Linked DNA regions of Rattus norvegicus. The main gene of each other region encodes a partner of the protein of the gene in region 3 in a complex. Links are inferred from orthologs where the notes say so. Each region holds a gene or a part of one and is shown on either strand. Other genes may lie near its edges. The genes, in order: Tnfrsf13c, Tnfrsf17 and Tnfsf13b.

Region 1 (6,923 bases), on a different chromosome or scaffold from region 3:
CTCAGGAAGGTCGTGCCCCCTACAGAGGTCATTAGAAAGGTCAAGGCCGGGGTTGGGGATTTAGCTCAGTGGTAGAGCGCTTGCCTAGGAAGCGCAAGGCCCTGGGTTCAGTCCCCAGCTCCGGAAAAAAAAAAAAGAAAAAGGGGAAAGAAAGGTCAAGGCCATTGTCCCTTTGGTCCTTCTGGAAAAAGACACCACTTGAGGTTTTGCAGAAAGGAAGTGCTTGCTCTGTGCCTGTGACACCAGCAGAGCCTTCAAGGGACCAGATGCTCAGGTGGAAAACTTGACAAGCGTCAAAAAGCCCAACTGGGAGTGTTTAAAGACAGAAACCTACTGAATGTGACTTTCACGATGGAACTTGGAAGGAAAAAGCTGGGGGAGGGGGGCAGTGTACACTAGCGGAGTTACAGCTTATGGGAGCTTACAAGAGTCAGGACTCTCTTTCCTCCACGTGGGTCTGGGATCACTTTTGGGTTTCCAGGATTGGCAGCAAGCACCTTTACTCCGAGAGCTGTCTTTGACCCGAGATGGGACTTTCAAGTACGGTTATAGCTGACATTATAGATGACAGCATACACAGAGGCTGGTCCTCTCTGGGCCACGGCCAGCTCTCCTCAGCCTCCACTGAGGACATCACGATGACCCTTTCAGCTCACATGCAAAAGAGTCCCTTGATTTAGGTTTTACTAATTGTTTTAACCAGACATGAGTCCCTTCCCACTTCCAGCCATTGTTAGGGAGATGAAGTGCAGAATGGACAAGGACCCCTCAGAAAGTAACACCTATGACAAGGAGGAAGGGGGTGGGGGAGGTGGGAGTAGGGAGTGCTAATTTCACTGTCTGGCAGTACAGCCCTTGTGTGTGTGTGGGGGGGGGGTAGTGTCCCCACTGTGGGGGGGGTAGTGTCCCCACTGTGTGTGGGGGGGTAGTGTCCCCACTCCTTTTCCCCCTCCAATTGCTTTTCCTGCCTTTCCCAAAGAGCTCCCTTCTTAATTATGACAAAGACGATGCCAGGTTCTCTCACGGCCTGGTCTTCGGTGTCCTCACTATGAAATGGGGACGTGTGTGTGACTTCTCTCAGGTTCCTTCCCACTCTTCTCCTTTATTGGCCGAAGACCAGAGAGAGAACTTTGTACCCATCCCCCATTTCTCAAAAGAAACTGAGACTGAGGGAAACCATGTACCAGCCAGAGGCTTAGCTGGGATGGAGGGGTGCCAAAGGTTTGTATGTCAGGGCCCCATGGGGGTTTCACTAGCTTTTTTCACCCCCAGAGCCTAGACCCTGGTTATAGCCAGGTGGCCAGGGACAGTTCAGACTCCACCAGCCCCAGGCTAGAGTGGACAGCAATGGCCTGACTGATGCCTGTGTCACCTACCGTTGTCATTCGATCTCACCCTACTCCTCGCCTGACCCCTGGAGAGAGGGGCATCTTAGAAATGAATGTTCAGGTCCTGGAGGCTCTAACTGCCACTGGGTACCATTTTCTAAGCTAGAAAGGGAGTGTGCGGGAAAGCCAAGTGTTGCCAGGCAGCTGTGGTGAGTTCAGAGGGACTGGAAGGCAGGGCCAGGATTCAGACAAGACCCCGCAGAATGGGTCCACTTCTGATTCCCTTCCTATACAAGCTAAAGTTTGGCTTCCCTGTGAGGAAGAGGGCAGGCAGGAGGCATGATGGCTCCCTCTGAGTGTGCAATGTACCCCAGGAACTAGATAGAGAGAATTGGTAGCTTCAGAGCCAAGAGCCTCACTGTCGGGGGTTGGGGGGCAGCTTCCACAGGGGTGGTCGAGCCTCGGGTCAGCACAAGCTAGGCCAAGAAAGCCCAGCTCAAGGGGAGAACGGTTCACAGAAAGAGCACAAAGGATCTGAGCTCGGCCTGCTGCAGAGCCCCAGGCCTGCCTTGGCCTCTCTGTGAGGGAGTTGCTGCATAGGTCACTGCCCAGCGCACTGCTCATAGTGGCCTCCAGCTGGCCTCTGAGAAAGATTACCACCAGGATGTTCCATCAGCTTCCATTTAGACTCCAACCCGAGACTACAGACCTCCGCCTATGAATCACAGGTCTCTAGAAACAGCCATCATGGTGAAGATGGCATCTTACATGTCCTGGCAGACTCGGTCAAAGAAATCCATGGGTTACAGACACCAGAGACTCAGCACTACTCTGCCCAGGCCTCTCCTCTACTCCCCGCTTATTCTGAAAACTGATCTTACAACTAGGGTGTAGCTCACTGTGGAGTGCTGTGTAGCATGGGTCTGGTCCCCAGTACAGTGAAAGATAAAATTACAGAGAATCTTGTACTAAATACCACAGCCCAACGACCATCAGCAGCTGCTTCAAAGCAGAACAGCGCCCACAGCAGGAATTAAAAAAACACAGCACCCAGGTACAGATTATGCATCTTCCCCACAGCCTTTCTTTATTTAGATTAATTTTGGTTTAACAGTACCTTCCCCGCCCCCAGCTGAAAGGAAAAAACCTCTTACTCATAGCGCCTGTGTTAGTCAGTTTTATATTACTGTAACGAAACGCCCAAGGCTGAGTAACTTTATGAAGGAATGAGATTGATTTTAGCTTACAGCTCTTCAGGTTCGAGGGCCGGCATCTGATGATTGCCCTCTGTCTGGTGAAGTCCAGAGTTGGCACAGCCCATCACGCGGCGGGAGGGGGCGTGTTCATTGTCTCTTGTCTCTCTTTGTATCTTGGGGGCTTGGTCCTGATGGCTTGACCTCATCTTAGTCACCATCCAAGTATACCACTTCTAAACACCGTGAGATGAATTTAAAAATAATAATAATAAAGGGAAAAAAATCAGAATTTAAAAAGATTTCAGTTTTGGTATCATTTGGAGACCTGGTCTCACCATATAGCGCTGGTTAGCCTGGAACTCGCTATGTAGACCAGGATGGCCTCCAACTCAGAGATCTGCCTGCCTCTGCCTCCCAGTGTTGGGATTAAAGGCCTGTGCCACCATTCATGCCCATCTTATATTTGATAACTTGTAAAAGTGTGTGTGTGTGTGTGTGTGTGTGTGTGTGTGTGTGTGTGTGTGTGTGTGTGTGTACAAACTGGAGCTGTGAGAGCTGGTTCCTTTACAGACAAGGATATTCCTGGGGCTGAGTTACGGGTGGTTTTCAGCGGCCAGATATGAGTGCTGGGGAACTGAACAACTGGAGTTCTCTTCTAGGACGGCACATATACTTAACTGCTGAGCCACGTCTCCAGTCCGTCATCCAAAATTTTTAGAAAGAGATTTTCGTTTCCAGTCTCTGACTCATTAAAGAGATTAATATTCAGCACTTAAGCCTACCCAACCATCGGAAGGCACACAAACTTAAAAAAACGACCTCAAAAATGGAATGTTCTCAAGCCCAAAGCTAACACGGAAACAATCTCCTGCGGGTGGGAGCCTGTGGCCTGTAGTGTCTGGTTCTGCTGGGTTCAGCCCCAGGTAAAGGTCTCCATCACTGAAGGGTTGAATTCTTTTCTTTTCCAAGCTGTTGGGTGAAAGTCCATGAGCCCAGTAGGGCTCCCTGGGCTTCTCCGCTGCTGCTACTGCTCAGGGCCAGCTGTCTTGGTGGTCACCAGCTCAGTGGAGCCCAGTTCTGTGGCTGGCACTGGGATGCTGTGGCACGACAGGATGTTGTCTGCATCTTCTTTGAATGGAGGCCAGTTAGGAGCTGAGGCATGAAGGGTTTCCGAGGGGGGTACAAAGACATTTTCCAGGGACTCTGGGGTGGGAGAAGGACCAGGTAAGAAAGATCAGGATTGAATCCCACGCCCCCAACGCCTGTTCTAGAAGCTTCCTCTGGGACAGCCCTAGGAGGAGGAAGTGGGACAGCACATGACAAGTCTTCAAGACAGGAAGTGCTGAGTCCAGAGACTTGATGAAAGGTGAGGGACTCTAAACATTGGAAGAGGGGTGTCTGGTCAGCCCACTGGGCATAACCTAGGATCAGGGCCCTTGGGTTCTCCAAGGGCAGGGCAGACACCTTCATCCCAAACATCTCTTCTTGGGCTCTGGATCCTCTTGCTTGGATTAAGGTTTGGGCTGTGCTGTACTCCCTGCTTTATGACAGCCTCATAGTCAACTCCAGGACTCCCTCAGTCCTGTGTCCTCGTTCTGACCTCTCTTAATCACCAAAGGGTTGCGGCCTCCACACCACAGCCGCCCTTACACTCCCCAAGATGCAGTTCTCACCTTGCTGGACTCCTTCGGAAGTGTCCAAGGAGGCTGTCCTGCGCTGTTGCCGCCACCTCCAGCCCACCAGACTCACCAGACCCACCAGGGTCAGTGCCAGCACCAGTCCCAGGAGCGCGGGGGCACCGAAGAGCAGCGCCACATCGGGTCTCAGCCCGGAGCCCTCCTGAGGCTGCAGAGCTGTCCCGGGCTCCAGGCTGCTTGCTGTTGGTAGAGGGGATGAGGGGATGAGGGGATGAGGGGATGAGGGGATGAGGGGATGAGGGGGTGAGGGAATGAAGGGGTGAGGGGATGGGAGGTGAGGGGATGAGGGGATGAGGGGCTGGGAGGGAGACAGGGAGAGGAAGAGGGAGAGGCTAACAGTGAGGGCCATGGGGGAGGGGGCCCGCTGGTTCCAGGGTCAGCAGAGGAGCACGCCTGGTAGGCTGGAGACCTCGGGACAGGTCACGCCTATCCCCATGCCTTTGCTTACCATGTCTAGTTTCCGGCGTGTAGAAGAGCTCACAGGACACGCAGTTTCGCACCAGAGGGTCGAAGCACTCAGTCTGATTGCACTGGGTGGACACCGGGCTGTCCCGGCTCCTCCGGCTTCTGACCCGGAGCCTCCTGACGCCCATGTCGCCGCCGCATGCAGCTGGGACAGTCTGGGCTCTGGGTCTCTCTGGTCTAGAATGAAACCGCGACGCAGCATCCTCCGCCCCGCCCTTGCCTGCTGGGGTGGGACCACTGGGGTGGAGCTGCGACCTCGCCTGGAACCCCAGACCTCTTTCACCTGTAGTTCCTGCATTAAACCACTCAACTGTCACAGCAGACACGACAGACAGCTGAGCATCCTCTGCGCTGGGGGTTGGGAGGATGTCACACTAGAGCCTGCTCTTGGACAGCAGAGGGACCCTGCAGTCACCTACCCTCCCCAGGCCCCTGCTGCTGTGCCTCACTAAGACCAATTGTTTCCACTAACTCTCTGCCTCCAAGTCCCTCCTGCTTCCTGCTCTGCCCAATGTCGAGACATCAACAGTCTTGAGTGGCCTGGCAGAATGGCCACAGTGGAGGAACACCTATAAAAGACTTCCTAGTCTCACTGCCCTCTAGTCCTCCATATCCTTGCACACTGCCTGTCCTCGCCACCCTGGACTCCACAGGAGTGGGTAAGGTGTGGGGCCTGAGGACCACCAACGCAAGTCATCACCAACAACAGTAACAGGAAGGTTTAACTGACAAAATGCCATGGAGTTGGTAGAGAGGTGAAGACAAGGGGCCAGTGTCGGCAGAGCCTGGTGTCATAGATGGGGAGGCTAAGGTGACCTGTGACCTGTGGGACAGGCTGGAATAGCAGAAGGCTTGGGCTCTGGTAGAGCAGGATGCTAGGGAGCCACACAAACTTTCAGCAAGTGGAGCCCTGCGGATTAGCAAGGGACCTCCCTGTTCCCCAGTTCCTTTCCTAGGGCATGAACTTGTTCACATCTGAGCCTTGCCAGGCCCCTGCTGTATCAGGTTCTGGCACCCATCCACCCGTGTTCTCTCCCACCTGTCTCTCATCAGCATCTCTCAGACCCAGCCTCAGTCACACAAAGCTCTCTGGGTCTTGGATATACGCAGCCTCCTCCCCAGGGGTCTTGGGCTGGAAAATGCCAGAGGAGCTGTCAGCTAGGACCTGGGGCTTGGAGTTTCCTGGTGGACCTCATGGTAGGTCATACAGACCTCTGAGCTCTCAGGGTTAGTGACCTAGGGATGTCTTTAACAGATTCAAGGGATGGGGAAACATGGCCTCTGGGCTACACATACTGGAAACAGACCTAGTCACTGCTGTGGGATGCTGGGCAAGAGGGGAGAGCACCTTTGTTATGGACGGATGGGGTCCAGCCAGAGTGTGAGGCCTGGCATGGAGGAGACCTCATGTGTTTTGAGTGTGTGTCTCTCTCTGCCCTGCACTTTAGTGGGAAGGGCCCTTTGGCTGCTTCAGGTCGGAGACTGGGTGGAGAGGCACAGAGGCAGGTGCTCTGGTCCAGACTAGGGGATGATGCAGAGCTGATCATAGGGTGAGGGGATTAGAATTGGCAAGAGGAGATCCTGAGGACCCAGCCAATCTAGGGGTTCTGGCCCATTGCCTGTCCATCCCCTTGCCTATGGGCCAGAAACTCCACAGCAGGAAGGTGTAGGCGTCAGGGTAGCTGCAAAGGAGAAGTGGGGTCTGGGGGGTGGGGTGGGTGTTAGTGTGGGTGTATGGGGCTGTGGGGGGAGGGGGAGGGTATGGAGAGGAGCCAGGGCAGGGACAGCCCTTCCTTTCTCATAGGACAGAGGCATGAAGGTAAGACTAGAAACTTCGCCACAACCCTCTGCCCACACCTACCTCTGTCACTAACTGGGCTGCTGTTACTTGTCACTCTTAGGGCCATGGAGTCCTGCCTATGCACCAGGCATCCCAGCTTTTGTGTCGGGCACTGGAGCTGAATGGACTGAGGCTTGTGGGAACCCAGGGCCAGGATAACAGCCAGGAAGCCAGCCTGCAAGCAGGAGTTACTTCACTACAGAAGATCCCTAGCTGTTCCGGTTCTGACAGCAGACAGAGGTCATCTCGGGGTATCAAGCAAGAGGGCTGGCACTCACAGTCACAACTACAAAGTCCTTCGCCTCAGCCAGAGAGGGAGGTTTGATGTCTGGAAGGACGGGCGCAAAATTAGTCACTTGACACAAATGATTGTCAGGCATTTCCTACGGGTCCAATG
Region 2 (6,923 bases), on a different chromosome or scaffold from region 3:
AGAAGACTAAGCTACTTCTCAACATTCCACAGTGTAACTATCTTCTAAAACATCTTTCAGGGATTGGACAAATGGCTCAGCCTCTAACAGCTCCACTGCTCTTGCAGAAGACATGGACTCGATTCCCAGCACTCACTTGGTGGCACACAACTGTGTGTAACTCCCATCCCAGGGGACTCTTTTCTAGGGGCACTGCATATACAAGTAGTACGCACACATGTATGAGACTAAACACCCACATACATAAAAATAAATAATAAAACATCTAATTCAGAGTTGCTCTAGAAATACACAAAAAGTGGAAGGGAAAAGCCTGCCTGACCTTGCTTCCATGTGAAGCAAAAGAAGCCACTTACAGAACAATGGCAGAGTGGTAGTTACCAGAGGCGAGGAGGTGGGGGAAATGAGAAGCAGGTGGCCGGAAGTCCAGGGCTGCAGTTACATAAGCTGCATCTGTAGAGCCAGCGTGTGACAAGGTGACTGGATAGCACTGGAGCACTTCAAATAGCAGAGAGTAGATACCAGCCACCCTCACCACCAGGAGGAATGGAGCAGGGCTGGGGATGGAGCTCCGTTGGCAGAGCTCGCCCAGCCTGCCCAGGAGGCTGTGGATTCAACCCCAGAACAGCACAAACCAGGACTGATAGTACACACCTGTAAAGCCAGCCCCAGAGAGGTGGCCGCATGAGGACTGGAGAGGCTCAAGGTAGTCCTGAGATACAGAGTCAAAGGCCAGCGGTGATACATGAGACCCAATCACCAAAAGGTCAACTGTGTGAAGATGTGGATGCATTTGACTGTAGTCACTGTCTCCCTATGTGTCTGTATTCAGAACATTATGTCATGTATTTTTATATGTACAATTTGTATGTTAAAAAATTTCGGGGTTGGGGATTTGGCTCAGTGGTAGAGCGCTTACCTAGGAAGCGCAAGGTCCTGGGTTCGGTCCCCAGCCCCAGAAAAAAAAAAAAAAATTCACTCTAGGTTTGAAGAGGTGGCTGAGTGGTTAAGAGACGATACCATTCTTTGAGTCTCTAGCATCCACTCGTAACTTCAGCTAGAGGGGATCTGGTGCCTGCCCACTTCTGCCATCCAGAGGTACTGTGCTCACATGCACAAAATATGAAGCCCCTTCCTGATGACATCTAGTCTGTGATCCAGTTCTGAATCAACTCATTGACCATTCCAGGTCAGGCAGCCATGGGGCTCCTGCTTTTGGTTAAACCACTCTCAGCCATACACATATACATATAACTTTAAAAACAATGAAAATGCATTCTTTTGTCTACCAGACCACATGGAGAAAAGAGTGAGTGAGTTTCTAGCTACTCCTGCTGCACAGGAAAGCAAATGGAGTAGGTGCTTTGCAGAAACAAAATGGTTAAAGAAGCAGGACAAGGGCTGTGAACACAGCTTAGTGGATACAGATTTGCAGCATGAGGACCCTAGTTTAAATCTCTAGTGCACTGGTGACAAGCATGTGCCTGTAACCTCCCAGTGGCAGAGGTGGGACCGAGACAGCAAAGCTGAAACCCCTTGCTTCTGCCCCACTGAGAGCCTGTCTCATGGCAACAGGGAAGGGAGTAACGGAGGGAGATAACCAGTGTCCTACTGTAGCCTCATGTGCACACGAGCCTGTGCACGCTCACTTTCATGCACCACACACACCATAAGAAAAAGGATTCAGGACCATGGCTGCTGTGTGTCTAAGAATCAATTCACAGAGAACAGTGCTATAAAGACATTTTTAGCCTAAGAGGCCCTCAAGTTGAGCATCTACTTCCCTGAGACTGGCACTCTGTTGCTTAATAATTATCCTTGAGATGGCTAGTGAACCAGGTTATTCAGTTTCAGCATTTTGGGCAGTAAAACATTCACAGTAAAACATTTGAATTGTATTAAAACCAAGATCATGGATCTTGCCAAATACTCTTTGCCTGAGAGTACCAGGCTGTGGTCCAGTATCGATACAATATCTCATTGGTGTGCTACATTGAGTCAAAGACACTTTCCAGAGAAGTCTCAAAGGCAGTTACCCAGAGAACTGGGGGGATGGGCCTTGAAAGGAGCCCTGCAAAGTAGGGGTCGATGTCACAATGTCTCTGTTTTGTTTTGTTTGGGGGACAGTGGTAGGCTTGGTTTGTTGTCATCTTGGAGACTCTTCGCCCCGCCTGAGCTCACACTCAATAGCTGAGCATGACCCTCACCCCTTTACCCCTTTGATCCTCCTGCCTCCACTCCCTACGTGCTAAGATGACAGGCATGTGCCACCGCTTCCAGCTCAAAATTTCAAGTAACTACCCACTAACACATTTGAAAGTGCTGTAACAGCAACAAAAAAGCCAAAGTTAAAAAAAGAAAAGGAAATGAAACTTGGAAGAGCTGCCCTTACAGAAATAGATTCCAAGACTCACCGTCAAGATGGCCTGGGCTTTGAGGCTTGTCCTTCAGGGCCTCCGGGTTCATCTTCCTCAGCAAGAAAGAGAGTGTGAAAAGTGCCAAACAGACGACCAAGGTCAGGCCCAAGAAGATCCAGAGAACCGTGTACGTCCCTCTCACTGAGCTGGTCATGCCTTTATCAAAGGAATGTCACAAAATGTACGTCCCTCTCACTGAGCTGGTCATGCCTTTATCAAAGGAATGTCACAAAGCAATGCAGCCAGGGCTCAGGATTCACACCTTCCTGACACTCGACTCCCTAGTGCATACTCATGAGCATCTTACTTGGGCTTAGACAAGGTCTCCTGTCAATCAGACTGGCCTCAAACCCAGCCGTATCCAAGGAGGACCTCTGGTCTCCACCTCCTATGTAAGTGCTGCAGTTACAGCAGCACCACGACCATACAGGCTGCTGGGACAGAGCCCAGGGCTGTGTGCATGCTAGCCCGGTGCGCCACCAGCTCATCTCCAGCTCAGTTCCTTTCGTTGTTTATGGGACAGGACCCTATTCTAGCCCACGCTGCCTTCACAGGGGTCGCATATCAGATAGCCTGCATATCAGACATTATGATTCATAACAGTAGCAAAAGCAGTTAGGATGTAGCAATGAAAATAATTTTATGGTCTCCACAAATGAGCAACTATCAAAGGGTTGCCACTTAGGAAGGTTAAGAACCACTGAGTTAGAGGCATGCACTGCCCATCCCTGGTTGACTTTTAAATTCTGAGTACCACTTAATTAAGAGCTGATAAATAAAATTGAGTCTGGTTCTGAATAATTCCCTTTGATCCAGGAGACATTTAAATTATCTTTTCTGGTTTTGATTCAGGAAAAGAAAAGAAAAATCTCCCCATCTCCTCTGTAACATTTGCTCTCTGGTAGATGGGCAGCATGTCAGGAGACTGCTCCCCACCAAGAAGCAACTATTGAGAAGCCGCACTTACTTGGATCACAGTAAGGCTGACAGGGTGCAGGAGGGTTGGAACATCGCAGGCGACACGGTTTGCAAGCATGCAGCAGACTGTCAAAATATTCACTGTGGAAGCACCGCTGAGCCATGGGGGACTGGAGCACTGAAAGACACGGGAAGAACAGACAAAAGAGTGTGGAAGGACAGCAGGTTCTCTGTGGAGAGAAAGATCCTGACTGCTCTTAGGAGGGCTGCAGGTATCGGGGTGGAGGATCTGAATACCTCTCTTTCTGATCCTCCGTTTCTAAGAGGCTTGGGCGGGGCAGCAGAGGGGTATATCACAGCAAACCATTCCTGAAACAGAAACCACCTATTTATAGAGGAGAGTCACCACCCAGGTAGCAGTTGCAATGTGGACAAGCTTGGGGCGTCAAGCTGAAAGTCCAGCTGCCATTTATGGATCATCTGTTTTGGGGCTGTATGACAAGACAGGCAAGACGAGGACTGCATCCCTTACATACCTAATGTCAACAGGGAAGACAAACTGGAGGCTGGAGCCAGTGGTGGCAGTGGCTGACCCAGAGGACAGACAGGAGGGAGCTGTCAACTCTGGCTACCAGGTGTCCTTTGGCAGTTGAGTTAAAGCAGGAGGTTGACGGGGCTCATCTGAGGGCACTGTGTCCTGACAGTTAATAGCATCCCCGCGGGTGCAGAGGTGTGACCTTCACTCCCAGCCCTCCGGACACAGAGGCCGGTGGGTCTCTGTGAGTTTGAGGCCAGCTTCATCAATAAGTGCTACATAGAGAGGCCCTGTCTCAAAAACAAAAACAATAATCCAAGACACATCCTCAGAAAGAAGCGAGCCTTACCATCCCCTGGAGATGATTGGAGACTTGGACTTACGGCTCATGCACATATGCTGTATCCTACGCGATCTGTAAAGTCGGAGTTAAGGGTTCAAACTTGAGTGTCACGGAGCCATGCCTATAGCCGCAGGACCCACGAGGCAGAGGCAAGGCGGTCTCCAGTGGAAAGCCAACAAGATCCTGTCTCAAAAAAAAAATTGTTTTAGTTTTAGGTTTTTTTTTTTTTTTCCGGAGCTGGGGACCGAACCCAGGGCCTTGTGCTTGCTAGGCAAGCGCTCTACCACTGAGCTAAATCCCCAGCCCTGTTTTAGTTTTTGAGACAGGGTTTCTCTAAGTAGTCCTGCATGTCCTGGAACTCACTCTGTAGACCAGGCTGGCTTCTAACTTACAGAGATCCACCTGCCTCTGCCTCCTAAGTGCTGGGATTAAAGATGTGTGCCACCACCAAAGCATGGGATAAAAGCACATGGGTAGTGAGGCCCACTGAACTACACTGAAGCAACCTTGTCATGAGACTACCTTAGGGGCTGAAGTGATGGTTCAGCAATCACACTGGCTGGACAGACAAGGGACCTGGCTCTGAATCCTAGCACCCTGTGAACATGGTAGTTCACAGCCATCTGTGACTCCAGCCCCTGGGATCCACTACACTTTTCTAGCCTCCATGGAGACCAGGCACACACATGGTCACAGACATACATGTGGGCAAAACACTCAGACACATAAAGTAAAATATAAATAAAAATAAAAATACATGATTGAACTAGGTTGTGCTGGCACACCCCTTTAATCCACCACTCAGGAGGCAGAGGCAGGCAGATCTTTGTGATTTCAAGGCCAGCCTGGTCTACAGTACAAGTTCCAGGACTGTTTCCTGGAGAAACTCTGGCTTGAAAAACATAAATGAATGATGAATGAATGAATGAGTGAGTGAGTGTGAGTGAGAGAGTGAGTGAGTGAGAGAGTGAGTGAGTGAATGAGTGAGTGAATGAATGATGAGTGAGTGAGTGAGTGAGTGAGTGAGTGAGTGAGTGAGAGAGTGAGTGAGTGAATGAATGAATGAATCCGTGCCATTGCCTTATCCTGGAAACTTCAAGGGCTGTGTGGCTTACCTATTGGAAGCCTGGGTAGATACTCTGTAGGACAGATTATTATGTACTCAGTCTACAAAGATGACTTGGTGGGTTAGGGACACTTTTCGGGCAGTCACGAGGACCAGTGTTGGAATCCCAGTACACACATAAAACACTTATAACTTCAGCTGGGATTTATGGGCTTACAGCCTACCTGATAAAACAAGAGCTTCAGCTAAGGGACAGTCTTTTGTTTCAAAGGAATGAGTGATGAGTCATAAAAGACATTTGACACCTGTCCTCCAACACACATAGGCACATGCATCTATATACCTGCACTCACAGGGTTAAACAAAGGTATACACGAATTAAACATATATGTCGACATGGCATAGTAGCACATGTCTTTAATCCCAGCATTCAGGAGATAGGCAAGCAGATCTCATGAGTTCAAGGCCAACCTAGTCTACATATCAAGTTCCAGAGCAGCCAGGCTATGCCTCAAAAACAACTGCTACTATCAATACTAATACTAATAATAACAATTATAAGTTACCAATTGTAATACATTTTATAAGCCAAAACCTGTGTTCATTCCACCCTTGACGTCTTTGTAAGTATAATGGGCAGTTAAGAAAATGGTTTGTGATTCAGATGCCTAAAAACAATTGCAGCTTTCCACATGTCCTAAAGTATGGAGAGATGCATGCGCTCTCTCTGAGCAGCCCTGATGGACAGCACTCCTTACAGAGACAGGGACAGAAGGCAGGCAGACTGAACAGATCTGCTCATGCCTTTTCCTTGTTACTTAATCAGAATCACTTCAGTTTGGTTTGGGTTTTATTTATTTGGTTTTGTTTTTTCCAGGTAGGTTTTCTTTCTTTTTGTTCTTTTGGGGTTTTTTTTTTGGGGGGGGTGTTTGTTTGTTCTTGTTTTTATTTTGGTGTGCTTGTTTTCTGTGTTTTGATTTTTTGAGACAGGATCTCATACTCACTATGTGACCGAGGCTGTCCTCAAACTAACAACGCTCTCTTCCTGCCTTGGACAGTGCATACCTGTCATCTCAGAACTTGGCAGACGCAGAGAGGAGGCTTGCAGTTTAAGGATGAGCTTCCAATTCAATGAGAAACCCTGTCTTAAAAGGTGGAGAGAGATAGAGGAGACACCAGTGTCCTCTCTGTCTTCTTCACACATGTCCACCACAAACACACACACACACACACACACACACACACACACACACACACACACACACACACATTAGTTCATTAACAAACAGAATTCCAATGAAGAAATGGATCTAAAGTCAGATTCTTCCACAGGAGGTGACAGTGTATCAAGAGAGTGGGATCACTGAGGGCAGCAGTGGCTCATCTAGGAAGTCCTATATGCTCAGCTCCTACCAAAATGGAACCTCGAAAGACAAGCCAACAGCAGGACCAGAACAGTTGGAGAAGCAAGAGAGCACCAGGATGATAGCCGCTCACAGCCAAACAGCAAGAGCATCTCAGGGAGGCTTACACAGTGGATACACTTTGCATATGATCAGGTCTGATGCACTAATGTTGGAGCCCTAAACATGGGTGAAGAGGATGAGGAGGCACTTGGTATGAGGTGTGCCCAAGAAGTCAGGT
Region 3 (6,923 bases):
TTTTGATTTGAGGCAGGATTCACTCGGCTGCCTCAGGCAGGGACTGAACTCATCATGTGATCCTCCTTCCTTAGCTCCAGAGTAGCTGGGATGACAGGCTAATTTCGTTTGCCCATAAGCTGTTTGAAAGAAGTCACCTTCGTAGGCTCTAAAGATATTCTTATGTGGACTGTGAAACGGATAAAATCATAGCTTGTGAAGGGTCAAAGCACAGGCCAATGTGAGGGCAGTTTTAAGGAAACTGGATTATGTAATATTTTCAGATTATGCTGCTTTAGGTTTTTCTCTTATTATTATTAAGAATCTTTCCAAACACATTTAAAGGATTAAGAGTGAATTGTTGGTTATGATAAGCTATTTGGCAATTGTTTAATCCTGGATTTCCCCACATTTCTGTTTATCGTATTGCAATAAAATGACCTTATAAAATGCACTAAGCTTAATAAAATATAATTCAAATTCAAAATAACTTAAAAAAGTATGCCAAAATGCTGTTTTAAAATTAAGTAAAAGTACTCTATCCCCAGAGGACTCAGAGGACTTGTGTGGGTCTGCCTTTCTCTTCTACTGCTGTCAGAAGAGAGAGAATGGAGATACCCACAGCTCAGAAACAGATGTAAGCAGTTCCCAGTAAAAGCCTCAGCGGACACTTGTGAAAGTAAAAGGAACACACCAAGGTTAGTTCAAGTCCAAGAAAACAGTCAGAACAACCAGGTGTAACAAAATTTACAAAAATAAACACGCTTTTATCAATAAAAAAATAAGACTCCAGTAAACCAATAGAAAATCCTTGTGTTTCAGATAACTTTTGTGGATTAGTAGATAATCACAGTGGTCACTGATAAAGTACGTTTCCCTAATTCAGAAGGAGAGTATAGGAAACAAGAGTCGATACTTTAATTGTCCAGGAACAGGAGACATTTCCCTTCCTTGAGACTCAGATCTGCAACTTTCTTATCTTGGATTTATGAGTATTGGGGAAATATAAATGAAGAAAAAACAAAATATGTGTATCATATATTGACAGTACATTATTCTTTAAATTTTACAAATTATTAATTAATTTTCCTCTTCCAGTTTCGTCAGCCTGAAATATTTGGATGCACAAAATCACAAACCTATAAAATATGCAAATGTGAAAATTATTTAAAATATATCATTATAGGATATTTAACCTAGTCTCTCTCTCTCTCTCTCTCTCTCTCTCTCTCTCTCTCCCCCCCTCCCCCACTCCCCCTCTCCTTTTTCTTCCTATGTAGCCCTGTTGGTCCAGAACTTTCCATATAGATCAGGCTGGGTGTTGAACTCACAAAGTTCTGCCTGACTCTACCTCCCACGTGCTGGCATTAAAGACATACACCATAATTCTCTCCTATTCTTTACTCTTAAACCTTTTAAAATGAGTCTATGTCCTCTTTAGAATGGCAAAGTTATTTTTGAAACCAGTCTTTAGGAAGCCTGGAAGTGTAGGAGACATGACTTAAGATCACTGTGGCACCCTGCCTGACTGTGTATTGATGTCCACTAAAATGTAAAACTACTTAGTCCATATGAAGCAGAAGGGTAGAGGAAGAAGCTGGCGATAAAACTATCTCACATAAATTCAGTCGCGTATAAAGAACTTGATGCCCCAAGTTCACCAGCACAAGCATTCTGGAGAACACTTTCATGCTTTTGTTTGAGACAACAGCCTGAAGCGGGATGGAGAAAGGAGGAAGTTATACCAGTGTGAGAGGCTTTACCACAATAAGAGACACAGGATTAATAGGTTAGGAGCAAAGGGACACTTAGTCAAAACAAGAGGCAAGTAAAGGGGATCGTAGCTTGCTACTTAGGGAGCCAGGGGCTTTAACTTAAACCAGCGGAAACAAGAATCTCTTTAATAAACACACCACACCTCTCTATAGGTTTGAAGAAAATACAAGACGCAGTGCAAGTATTTACATCAACGTCAAATTGTAAAAAAAAAAAAAAAAAAAAAAAAAACATAGGCTAGATAGCCAGCCAATCGACAAAACTTAAAAAAAACATAAAATTGAAAGTAAAATAAGAACACGTGAAAAATATTTACAATTAGAGAATGGGGTTCACACTTAAACTTGAGAAGCAAGGCGAAGCTATAAAACTATCAAAATGAAGGTATAAGGACGGAATGCTAATGAGTACATAGAAACCTGTGACCCAAAGAGTTCAGAGTAAGAAAGTCGAATAATAAACTATGGTTCTATCGAATGCATAATTCCTCAGAAACAAGAGATACACAAAAAATTTGTGTGTATCTTGTATCAATCACAGTAACAATAAAATAATTATTTAAAAGACAAATAGTAGATTAGACCAAGGGAATTACTAAGAAGTCTGTGAGATACTTGTTGTAAAATAAAAAACAGAATAAAGCAGGGTATAGTGCTTATACAGTTATATGTACTGTGATTATGAGCTATTATTACATACACCGTAATATATAGCATGTGATGCTCTGTAACTGTGTGCTATTATTCCCTCATTGTGGCATGTGTGCTAGTATTGTATACATCGCACTATATATGCTAAAATCATTTCAGCAAAAAAAGATAGAAGGTCACTCACACTGAATACAGTAAATTTCAAATTTGTGCAAAATGTTTAGTTCTGCAGTGCATGTAATAACTCCACGCACTCTTTTAGCATGTAACTTAGAACTCAATAATTTTTGTTGTTTATTTTTAAGTCACTTAATAACTTAAAGTTAATTTTAACTCAGTTGAAATTATTTTAACTTATTTTTAGGTATTTTTAACTCGGATTATCGGGTAAATTTTTTATAAGAATAAAAAAGCAGACAACAGCAGGGATGTGTTAAATCGTATTGCTAACAGACAAGTATTGCTTCTTTTTCCCCCATGAAGTAAGAAGAAAAGTTCATTTTTAGTAGCTCCCAACTCTGCAAAACGCTAGAGAATGGACAGAAATCACCAAAGCCACAGCAGAATGATTACGCGGGAATTATGTTGCATGTGGCAAGGGTACATTACAGTCTTTGCCATTTCTGTGTGGTTTGCACCTGCCCCCACCGTGTGAGTGTGCGCGTGTATGTGTTAAGAAAAAAATTAGTAAACCCTCATAATGCAGGGTTTGTCCTACCTCAACTTTGCTAGAACAAGGGAAATCTGAAAAATGCTAGGGAATGGCTTCTTAACCAAGATCCAGGTGGTCACATGACTCTGCGGTGACAGGAAGAACTCTGCTGCTAAGTTCTTGAGCACACCATCACTGTGAGGGATACGTGCACCCTATCCTCCTGTCCACATGCCCTGCTCAGTGTAGGGGAAGGCACGCCACGCAGCCTATTGCATTTGCTACAAAGCCACACAAAGTGCTTTGCTCACCGCCGCCGCCGGGCGGGTGCAGGTGTGCACAGCACCGCCCCAGCTCCTAACTGCTGTGCCCCAGTCATACCTGTTTCCTCCGGTCCCTGGAAAGCGCGTCTGTTCCTTTGGCCTCGGCTGGAGTTGTGGGGTCCAGGAGCTGCGGGTGTTGGGAGCTGGGAATAGAGACAACCAGTTACTGGACAGCAGCAGAGTGTCATACCTGGTGCTCCTGCACAGGCAGAGCGGGGGAGTGAACTCACTTTGACTCCCGCGGACAACCCTGGAGCCCCCGGGGCGGCGGGTGTCGCTGAACTTCGGTAGCTCTGCAGCTCCATGCGCAGGCTCATCAGGTCTGCTTGCAGGACAGCCAACTGGTACAAGGACATCGCTGTGAAACTGCTGGACAACAGAGCCAGCAGGAGGGTAGCAGCCAGCAGCCGTCTGTCCCTGCAGATCCCAACCCAGGCACCCTCCTTCTGCGGAGTGATGGGAACATATCCCACTTTCATATCTTCTCCTTTCTCAGGGCAAAAACAGAGGCGCGGTGGTGGCAGGTTCTTTGCAGACTTATCCATTCCAAGAGGAGCACTTTGAAGGTCTGGGCCTTTGGAGTAAGTGACCATGGGGGTAGGTCATTTCCTGTCATCTGTGTCTCAGGAGGCTGCCCTCAGAGCATGGCACTCTCCTGACTTTCTCTCTTCTGCATCTTTTGCTACCCTGAAGTAGGTTCTCTGGCTCTGGCCTTCCATTGATTGCTCAATCTGTCTTCCGCATTTCACTTTCAGTTTTTGTAAGATTTTTCATTCTATCTCAATATAGTCCTGTTTGTGGGAGATATGAGGCCTCTGACACGACGGCTGGGAGCAGCTTGAGATTCAGACTGGCTTACTCCAGACAAGTTTATCGAAGGTGCTTTCCCTTCGGCATGCCCTTAAGAACTGTCTACTTGGAGCCACATGGTTTCTAAGGAAGAGGAAAGGGGACACTGAAGGCCTAGTGGTGTAATAAAGGATAATTAATGTGCAAGTCAGATAAGCCCAGTGCTCGAGCATGAACTGCATTTGGCTGCAGGACAAGGAAGCTAACAGCTCCCCGGTGGAAGACGAAATGGAGTGTCATAAAGCGGAGTGAACTCCACCCGAAGTTCTCTGCTCTCATCTTGACATGACAACGAAGAGAACGTGGTAGAGATCTATTTAAGGCCACACTGGGGACTCTTTAAATGTGGGGTGGATTACAGGGAAGCATGGCTTCCTCTTTGCCTTTGAGACTCGGTGTCAGAGAGCTGTTAGGCTCAGATCTCTCTCTCTCTCTCTCTCTCTCTCTCTCTCTCTCTCTCTCACACACACACACACACACACATACACGCACACACACACATACGCACATACGCACATACGCACATACACACATGCACATACATGCACACACACAACGCACATACACATGTGTGCACATACATATGCACACACGCACACACACATGCACACACACACACGTGTGCACACACATGCACACACGCACACACCGTGACCTGTGCTAGGAGCTGATGTAGGATCTCCACATTGATGGCACTCATTTCACAGCTATGGACACAGAATGTCTTCAGTCTGTGCTTGGGCTTGGTGACATGCAGACACTGTTTCATTCATTTTAGTCTTTCCTGGTCTGGAAGGCTGGTTGGGGGCCTGGTACCTCAACATCCATTTATCTTTCAGTATAGGCCATTGAGGATTTAGCTTAGTCACTGTATAAACTTCAGGCTGCTGGGGTTTAGCCTTATGCTGCCTTCCCTCCTAAGCTTAAGAAGAAAATCTCAGAAACAAGGATGCACAGCTGCAAGAACTCCAGAGGGAGGCTTCCCAGCCACCCATCCTGCTTCTGTGCCTGGCTTTCCCTATGTCAATTACAGAATTAGATCAGTTTCTTTCTTCCTTTCTTTCTTTCTTCCTTTCTTCCTTCCTTCCTTTCTTTCTTTCTTTCTTTCTTTCTTTCTTTCTTTCTTTCTTTCTTTCTTTCCTTCTTTCTTTTTCTTTTCTTTTCTTTTCTTTTGCAAGACATGGTTTCTTTGCATATCCCTCGATGTTCTGGAACTCTCTCCATAGACCAGGCTGGCCTAGAACTCAGAGACCACCCCACCTGCCTCTGCCTCCTAAGTGCTGGGATTACGGGTATGCACCACCACCACAGCACAGAGGGAGGATTCTTGCTGTGGTACTCAGTGCTAAAATTGGTATTTTTATGATTGTCACAGTAATATCTGCAGGGGGTCCCCACCAAGACACATCTTCCCTTTTGCAAAGTGTCAAAAAGAAATGCTGTTGGATTGTCATTTCCCAACTCATCCCCGAGTGATGCTAGGAGTCTTCTTCATTGGGACTGCAGGCTTTCCTTTCTTTCGTTATGTGAGTTCTAAAGAACTTTGTAAGCCAGTGGCTGCAATCTTTACCCCCCAAACGAGCTGTTCTCTAATCTCCAAAGTGAAAATAGGATATTAAGTATGTGGGTGACTTTTCTTTTTTTTTTAAATTTTTAATATTTTATTTATTTATTATCTATGAGTACACTGTAGCTGTCTTCAGATACACCAGAAGAGGGCATCAGATTTCATTACAGATGGTTGTAAGCCACCATGTGGTTGCTGGGATTTGAACTCAGGACCTCGGGAAGAGCAGTCAGTGCTCTTAACCACTGAGCCATCTCTCCAGCCCCGTGACTTTTCTTTAGGTCTGACATCAAACGATATTTGGGTGACTGAGCTTCAGTCCAGCATCACAGGCAATGACTACTGGTAGTAATAGGGACCTCCACTCAGAGACTAAGACATTAAGACTCACTCATGAGACTTAATGGTAGGATTAGAATTCCACCACATGATAGGCCGAGATAGGAGGATTGTGAGTTCAATGTTAGCCTGGGCTCCATAGTAAAACACTGCTTCAAAATCAAGCACATATCTCAGTCATGTTTTATTACCAAATGACGTACAGAAATTAAATGACTAGAAGGAGTGTGAGACCAAGACACAGCACCTTCCTCTTGGGTCTCTGTATAGTTTATTCAGAGGGAGTTATCTAGCCGGGCTAAAGGACACCCTTCATCTTTTCTACTCGATTAGGGAAAGAACTTCATGGTCAAGCTCCTTAAGTTAAAGCCCAGGCAATCTGAGTTCAGGTCATTTTAGAATAAGCATCCGATGTTGATTCAGGGAGTGGTGTCACTGGGTATCAATGGCTACTGTTTAAAAAAAAATGGTTGCCAGGGAGCCTCCCTCTGGCTGGCAGGCACCATTGTTGGCATAACCACTGCAGAGTTCACACCAAAACAGCTCCTTCACATTTATGACTCTTTGGTTTCTTAGGAGATGAACAAGACAAAGTTATCTCTCCCTAACTCAAAGGTTTGTTTCCTGCACAGGAAATGGTTTGATGATTTAATCAGAGCTTTGCTAGGTGAAGCTCAGCACAGCACTGGTGTGTCCGTTGTCCTTAGGCGGTTTATGGGTGTCCGTCACGTAAGGCCTGTCAGTTGGAACGCCAGATAGTTCGACCTTGTTTTAATGCACTGAGTTAG

What was found.
Region 1: the proteins of Tnfsf13b (region 3) and Tnfrsf13c are in contact, whole or in part, in a crystal structure (PDB 1OQE), measured with the Homo sapiens proteins. The link is inferred for Rattus norvegicus from reciprocal best matches to the Homo sapiens genes TNFSF13B and TNFRSF13C. Residues at the interface, in NP_006564.1 of Homo sapiens: Ser162, Tyr163, Asp203, Thr205, Tyr206, Ala207, Met208, Gly209, His210, Leu211, Thr228, Arg231, Cys232, Ile233, Pro264, Arg265, Glu266, Asn267, Ala268; in NP_443177.1 of Homo sapiens: Asp26, Leu27, Leu28, Val29, Arg30, Val33, Leu37, Leu38, Arg39, Pro41, Arg42.
Region 2: the proteins of Tnfsf13b (region 3) and Tnfrsf17 are in contact, whole or in part, in a crystal structure (PDB 1OQD), measured with the Homo sapiens proteins. The link is inferred for Rattus norvegicus from reciprocal best matches to the Homo sapiens genes TNFSF13B and TNFRSF17. Residues at the interface, in NP_006564.1 of Homo sapiens: Ser162, Tyr163, Lys204, Thr205, Tyr206, Ala207, Met208, Gly209, His210, Arg231, Cys232, Ile233, Glu238, Pro264, Arg265, Glu266, Asn267; in NP_001183.2 of Homo sapiens: Tyr13, Asp15, Ser16, Leu17, Leu18, His19, Ile22, Arg27, Ser29, Ser30, Asn31, Thr32, Pro33, Pro34, Leu35.

What each region holds. Positions count from the first base shown.
Region 1 is NC_086025.1:115,613,756-115,620,678, forward strand, and holds Tnfrsf13c (tumor necrosis factor receptor superfamily member 13C), read right to left. Parts: upstream 4,893-6,923; 5' UTR 4,815-4,892; coding exon 4,670-4,814; intron 4,402-4,669; coding exon 4,198-4,401; intron 3,728-4,197; coding exon 3,549-3,727; 3' UTR 2,384-3,548; downstream 1-2,383. UniProt on the Homo sapiens protein: B-cell receptor specific for TNFSF13B/TALL1/BAFF/BLyS. Promotes the survival of mature B-cells and the B-cell response.
Region 2 is NC_086028.1:4,810,158-4,817,080, forward strand, and holds the start of Tnfrsf17 (tumor necrosis factor receptor superfamily member 17), read right to left. Parts: upstream 3,616-6,923; 5' UTR 3,500-3,615; coding exon 3,385-3,499; intron 2,574-3,384; coding exon 2,415-2,573; intron 1-2,414. UniProt on the Homo sapiens protein: Receptor for TNFSF13B/BLyS/BAFF and TNFSF13/APRIL. Promotes B-cell survival and plays a role in the regulation of humoral immunity. Activates NF-kappa-B and JNK.
Region 3 is NC_086034.1:86,190,387-86,197,309, forward strand, and holds the start of Tnfsf13b (tumor necrosis factor ligand superfamily member 13B), read right to left. Parts: upstream 4,114-6,923; 5' UTR 3,974-4,113; coding exon 3,611-3,973; intron 3,524-3,610; coding exon 3,439-3,523; intron 1-3,438. UniProt on the Homo sapiens protein: Cytokine that binds to TNFRSF13B/TACI and TNFRSF17/BCMA. TNFSF13/APRIL binds to the same 2 receptors. Together, they form a 2 ligands -2 receptors pathway involved in the stimulation of B- and T-cell function and the regulation of humoral immunity.